Bombyx mori: one gene and its partner. The protein of the gene in region 2 interacts with the protein of the main gene of each other region in a pairwise test. Links are inferred from orthologs where the notes say so. Each region holds a gene or a part of one and is shown on either strand. Other genes may lie near its edges.

What was found. The genes of interacting proteins can lie anywhere in the genome.
Region 1: the proteins of ubiquitin-conjugating enzyme E2 W (region 2) and E3 ubiquitin-protein ligase MARCHF5 interact in binary tests that used the Homo sapiens proteins (3 or more experiments, as listed by UniProt). The link is inferred for Bombyx mori from reciprocal best matches to the Homo sapiens genes UBE2W and MARCHF5.

What each region holds. Positions count from the first base shown.
Region 1 is NC_085132.1:5,326,230-5,329,895, reverse strand, and holds part of E3 ubiquitin-protein ligase MARCHF5, read left to right. Parts: intron 1-1,672; coding exon 1,673-1,918; intron 1,919-3,666. UniProt on the Homo sapiens protein: Mitochondrial E3 ubiquitin-protein ligase that plays a crucial role in the control of mitochondrial morphology by acting as a positive regulator of mitochondrial fission and as an important regulator of immune response.
Region 2 is NC_085117.1:6,909,109-6,912,774, reverse strand, and holds part of ubiquitin-conjugating enzyme E2 W, read left to right. Parts: intron 1-505; coding exon 506-661; intron 662-2,419; coding exon 2,420-2,495; intron 2,496-3,169; coding exon 3,170-3,183; 3' UTR 3,184-3,666. UniProt on the Homo sapiens protein: Accepts ubiquitin from the E1 complex and catalyzes its covalent attachment to other proteins.

The sequences.
Region 1 (3,666 bases), on a different chromosome or scaffold from region 2:
TCGATAATCCCGGTCTCACGGATCGTTTGGAACCTCTGGGTCTGCGGAGGGACTTCGGTTCCCTCTATATTTTGTACCGTATGTTCCATGGGGAGTGCTCTGAGGAATTGTTCGAGATGATACCGGCATCTCGTTTTTACCATCGCACCGCCCGCCACCGGAGTAGAGTTCATCCATACTACCTGGAGCCACTGCGGTCATCCACAGTGCGTTTCCAGAGGTCTTTTTTGCCACGTACCATCCGGCTATGGAATGAGCTCCCCTCCATGGTGTTTCCCGAGCGCTATGACATGTCCTTCTTCAAACGAGGCTTGTGGAGAGTATTAAGCGGTAGGCAGCGGCTTGGCTCTGCCCCTGGCATTGCTGAAGTCCATGGGCGACGGTAACCACTCACCATCAGGTGGGCCGTATGCTCGTCTGCCTACAAGGGCAATAAAAAAAAAAAAAAAAAAAAAAGATACACTACTCTGATCATCACAGGCGTAGTTTATGTTCACATGAAAAAAGACTCGTCTTTCGTAAAGGGGTCATCAAAACGGTAGTCAGGCGATATAACTAAATTAATAAAACCCTGTTTTTTGCCATTTGCCCACAGAATGCTAAAACAGCATCTATTTTATAAAATAACAATTAGATATAATCTTACAAGACTTGTTTTTTATTAACAGTGAATTGTTTTATTATTGTCTAAGTTGTGGCCTCAGAGGAAAGACTTCCAGTGCATATTGTATCGAGCGATGCCACTGTACCGGTGTTCGAATCCCGCAGGCGGTTGCCAATTTTTCAAATAAAATACGTACTTAATGAATTCACGAATGACTTCTATGTTGAATGATTCCCGTAAAAATTATAATTTGTGTCATTACTGGTGGTACGTTTCATAAGACCACACGAGTAAGTACCACCGCCGTGAAGCAGTAATGCGCTGTACTGTAAAACTGACAGCTAGAAGATTTTTATTTTTTTATTGCTTAGATAAGTGGACGAGCTCACAGCACACCTGGTGTTAAGTGGTAACTGGAGCCCATAAACATTCACAACGTAAATGCGCCACCCACCTTGAGATACAAGTTCTAACGTCTCAAGTATAGTTACAACGGCTGCCCCACCCTTCAAACCGAAACGCATTACTGCTTCACGGCAGAAATAGGCAGGGTGGTGGTACCGACCCGCGCGGACTCACAAGAGGTCCTAGCACCAGTAATTACGCAAATTATAGTTTTGCGGGTTTTATTTTTATTACACGATGTTGTTCCTTCACCGTGGAAGTCAATCGTGAACATTAGTCGAGTACGTATTTCATTAGAAAAATTGGTACCCGCCTGAGATTCGAATACCGTTGCATCGCTCAACACGAATGCATCGGACTTCTAAGAATTCGTGTCTCAAGTTGGACGGCGGCATTTGCGTTGCTGATGTCTATAGGATAGATTAGAATCAATAAAAAAAAATATGACAGCATTTTTCAGGTGATAGCACTAATCTGTATATAAGCATAATATGGTTAAAAATCATCTAATAATTGACCAGTTCTTTAGAACTTGTTAATACGAGATAGAAATTGGTTTTCTTTTGTTTGGCCTATGACGTAATTAAAATTTTACATTTTTTTCAATGATTGGAAGTTTTCATTTGTCCACAAAATCTGTTAACTTGTTATTTTTTTTTGTAGGTTCATCAGTCATGTCTCCAAAGATGGGTCGATGAGAAGCAGCGGGGCAACATCACACGCAAGGTTCTCTGCCCTCAGTGTAAAGCGGAATACATTGTCGTGTTTCCGTCCATGGGTGCCTTCGTAGCCATGCTCGATGCTATGGAAGAGATCACCCACAAGATATGTCCATTTATTGCTGGTGGAGTGCTACTTGGCTCCATATATTGGATTGCCATTACATACGGAGCGGTCACTGTCATGCAGGTATGTTCACGTAAGATTTTTTTATACGATATATCTATACTAATATATAAATCTACAGTGGTTTTTACGGATGTTCCGTTATAACTACTGAACCATGCATCCGATTGATTTGAAACTTGGTATCAATGTAGAAAATACATTTACTTAATGGATAGGCTAATATTTATATGAGTGTTGGACTCCCTAATAATAATGACAATAAAATTAAATGATAATGTTAATTTTAAATGCCCAGCGAAGCGGGCGAGTACTGCTATTCATATATACGTATTTGTATGTAAGTAAGGTACACGCCGCCAAACACCCTAGAACACAGTGCGTGACCAGACATATTTTTTGGTTATGTGCTTTCGAGCTTTTGACTGAACTCCGCTCCTACGGTATTTCCTGGGGTTGACAACATGTTTTCTTTCAAACAAGGTTTCTCAGCGGTAAGCGCTAGCTTAACTGTGCCCTTTTCATTGCTGCTTTTCATGAGCGAAGGTAACCACTCACCATCAGGTGAATCAAGTGCTCGTTTACTAATCGCTGTGATTAGAAGAAAATAATGAAATTTCTAAATCAGAACGCGAGAAACAAAAACGACAGACATACTAAAATGTAATTAATAGTGATAATTAACAGATAGATTGTGGTCTCCTCATAACGTCCGGACAAAAAAAAAATCGGTTTATACAATAGCTCGTGATATGTTTTATATATATAAAATATTTCGATCATCGCTTATCATTTTCGTGGTTGTCTCTTATCTTGTTCTTTGGTAATATCGAAATTATACCGAAATAATTGGCACATCGAAATTCAGTACTTACAAGGGCGGCACTGAAAATTTCAGTGACACAGTTGAAGTGACAAAACATTACTATTTAAAAATGTATTTATTGCTTTTCGAAGTATTCTCCGCGAAATTTGACACATTTTTCCATACGATGGAACCAATCATTGAAGCAACCATTCCATTCGGAAGTTGGGGTCTCCAAAATGGCCGTTTTGTAGGCGTCCACAGCTTCTTCAGGTGATGAAAATCTGTGTCCACGCAATTTATTCTTTATTTTAGGGAAAGTATAGAAATCTTTAGGGCCTAGGTCGGGGCTATACGGCGGATGGTCTAATAATTCTATGTTTTCTTGCTCTAAAAACTCTTTTGTTCTGTGCGCGGTGTGAGAACTCGCATTGTCGTGATGGAGGATGATGCGGCGGTTGCAGTTCTCTTTACGGAGTTCAGAAACGACCTGTGGCAAACAAATGCTAGCATACCATTCTGCATTAACCGTTCTTTGTCCCTCAAGAGGAATAGTCAGTCGTAACATGGCTGGTTTTGGAAACAAACGTGGCCACCATTTTTTTGCAACACTCCGTGAACGAACAATTTTTGTTGGCTTTAACTCATTTTCGAACACCCAAACTCGTGACTGGTTTTTTGTTTCGGGTTCGTACGCGTATATTCAGGATTCGTCACCTGATACAATGTTGTATACAGCATTTGAGGATCCTGCGTGGAATCTTTCGAGAGTTCTGACGCACCAAGTAACGCGAGCCGCTTTTTGCTCTTCACAGAGCGAATGCGGTATCCATCGGGAAAACAACTTTTTTACACCTAAGTAATTGTTCATGCAAGATTATTTGTATTTGACTCATGCCAATGTCTAAAGTTGCCTGAATTTCGCGGTATGTCACATGTCGATCTTCCTCAATCAGCTTACGCACAGCATCAACGTTTTCTTGGGTGACTGTAGTTTTTGGACGAC
Region 2 (3,666 bases):
AAAATATATTATCATAGAAGCGCCATTGTATTTATTAGAGATTCATTTAATATGTTAATCGTTTTTTTTTAATCTATTTCAAGATAAAACAAGATTATGAATCATAATGATAATAAAATATTTTCACATCGTTTCGATTAAATATATGACAACAGGGGCGTGGCTATTGTTTCTTGCTAAATAAGGAACGGTGTTTATATTTATCTTAAGCGTCCGTGGCCTTATAAGCTACTACGTCCGTTAATTATAGAGAAATGCAACAACTGCAGGCTATAGTCCGAATAAAAAAATGAAAGTATAAGCAAATAAATATTTTTTCCAAAGGCTTACAAAATTTTCAATTTGATTTTTGAACGCTCTTAATAGATTCAACAGAAATCACTAAATTGAAATTGGGACAGGTCAGCTGGTGTTGCCAAAAAAATATTCTAAAAAAAAACTTCCAAATTAGTAGAAAAAATAATCGATGTCGCATAATTGAAAACGAAATTTTGCGTATGTACAGGTAACGTTCATAGGCAACAACATTCCCGTTCACCCGCACGTGTACTCGAACGGGCACATCTGCCTTTCGATCCTCACCGACGACTGGTCGCCGGCGCTGTCGGTGCAATCAGTCTGCCTCTCGATCGTGTCGATGCTCAGTAGCTGTAAGGAAAAGGTATTATGATCTATTTTAATAACGGACCTTGACGCAATCTCTGAATAAGAAGATAGTGTAAACTTAAGAAGCGAGTTATTTTAATGCATCTAGATGTTTATCCAGTAAAATAACTCTGAATAAGAAAGTAGTATATAGGACATGGGCCATTTTCGACCCAGCTACTCGTGCTCTCAAGGACATTAGTGAAATATCTATAGAAAAAAACATTTCATTTTTACATACTTATTATAAAATTTAAGGGCATTTTAATGGTGGGTTAATTAAAATCATAAATAAAAAGAAATCAGCATGACTAATCTACATTGATAATATTGAAGGAGTTGCCATGGGTAAAATATATTATTTATATTTTAAACAATTCACATTAAATATTCTTAAAAAAACATTATAATGCAAAAAACTAGCAAAATATATTAACATATTTAATTAATAGATTTTAAAATTAATATAAAATATTATATCTAAACAAAAATCTATTTTTATACTTTTAAATCCGTGAATAAATCATTAAAAATTACATTGATGAACAATTATTGATCTTTAACAAAAAAAAAACTACGCTGTCCTTGAACTTCGTTTAGTGGGCCGTGCAAAGTATGGAGAGTGGCCCATGTCCTTTAAGAAGCGAGTTATTTTAATGCATTTGCCCAGTAAAAAAAACTTAAGAAAAAAGAATAAACACTACTACGTCTGTTCAATGCGAATTCTAAACTCGAACACTCGTTTGATGCGAAAATAATCGGGACATCTTCTCCAAAAACTTTAACATTTATAATTCGGAACACTATTAAAATTAGTCCACTGTCATTCGCATAATGACGTCCTCGACTATGGCCCATAATATCAATCGTAGTTTAAACTAATATCGAAGTTTTAAACGATCACTGAAGATCAACTCGTAATTTAAATCAGTGTTAAACTCACCTCCGTAGCTTAAATTATCTCAAAGCTTAAACCGTGCGTTGGGTTTAAACGGTTCTTTTCAAAATGGCCAAATATTTCGCATAAATCATGATTGATATTATGGACCTAAGTGCATTAATAATTATACGTCACTTTTCAGCTTTCCCTGTTATAAAAAGCTATGCAAATGATGAATATTTTGTTTTCGTTGTGTCGTCTTGAAAAGAGTGGTACAGTCGTTAATATCTACAATTGAGACTACAATTCACCTTGTAATTTCAATAGGAAATTCCAGTAAACACATAACTCCGGGATAGCTTGGAGTTCATTCAACCGTCTGTGCAATTAAAAGAAATCCTTTCGCTAATTATTGCACTCGACGACAGCTGATCTTATTGGTGTTAAGTGGTTACAGACATCACAACCTGAGTGCGGAGAACCACTATGAGACACGGCGTGGAAGCAACATTTAGATTTAGACCATTGGAACTTTAGAATTATAGAGACCTATTTCGAAATTTCTGGATATCGACTTTAATTCAAAAATTGATCTAGAACGACCTTTTTCAGCGACTGTTAATAATCAAATTACCAAAAGTAGCTTATAAAGGGACACGCTTATCTATCGGTCTCTTTCACTACGTTCCCCTCCTCTACGTCTTTTCGGTTTGAAAACTTTATTCGATGTTTTCCAAAAAATACATATTTTGAGTTGGGTCTCTATAATTTTAAAGGTGCGATTTATATTGTGTGACAGCTGTACCACTCTTGAACCCGGAACCCATCGATTCGCTTCATAACAGAAGTAATTTTTAGTCATTAAATATATAAAATCCAATTTTAACATTCCAGAGACGACCGCCTGATAATTCGTTCTACGTTAAAACCTGTAATAAAAATCCTAAGAAAACAAAATGGTGGTATCATGGTGAGTGAAGCAAGATTTTATTTTTCATTGTCCATTCGTATCATATATTGCAACATCAAACCGTCTTTATCTTAAGACTTGAAGTCATTTACATTAGAGATATCCAGATACCAGCATCGAATTTCACCACACCGATATTAATGAGTGATCGTGATGTGAAAATTTGAAATGGTTTTAAAACATATTTCGTGGGTAGAACAAAAAAAACATGAATATAAATAAAATTAATAAGAGCTTAAAACCCGTGCATAACTCATATTATACATTAAAAAAAAGTAGCAATCGAACGGAGACATTTAACCCCATATCTACTTTATGTAATACTATCAAAATTATTCCGCTTTTTTCACCCACCACAATTACCCACTAAATTATAAATTCAAAAGTATATTTAATAAAGATGGGCGCGAAAATACGAGAATGACAATACTAAATTCAAATGTTGTTTTTTTTTATTGCGTTTCGACAAAAAGTAAAATCAAAAAAACTAAGGAGTCATTAAAATTGCATAAATTTAATATAATGAATTTATTCTGTACTTTTTGCGCTTCGATAAGACGATACGAACGGTATCTATGAAAATACAATGAATATTAGATACCGCTCACCTCGACAAGTAGCGCCGAGATCTGACGCAGCGAAGCCATCATTGACCGCTCTCTCAATTATTCCAGATGATTCGGTGTAGCAAGCCATGCGGTTCATTCTATCGAACATGGATGATTAAATCTCAGTATGTGATAAGTGTTATAATAATGAGGATGTACGGTGCGCGAACGAGTCCGGGACGGGGCGCGTCGAACGACGGACTTATTGTCCTCAACAAGGATCAAAATGTCCGTCACAAACGCGATCATATCGCACATACAGAGCTATAATGTCACTTATGCGATTCTTGCCTGAGAAAATCAATTTTTTTTATAGTTATTAGTGAGACGTTTGCTTTTACTGATACTCTTCCCCCTGAAGCTCTTCCCCAACTTACGCAATAAAAAAAAAAATCTTTAGTAGAGAAGAACTTATATAACAGTAATAAAATGTTGATTTTTCAAATTCTTCTCCTGAAAAATTACATAATTTGCATAAGTGATGTTATAGCACTGTATGTGCGATATTAGCTGATCGTTTAAAATTCATAAACGTTGATTTGCACGGGACGAAATTCGGAGCG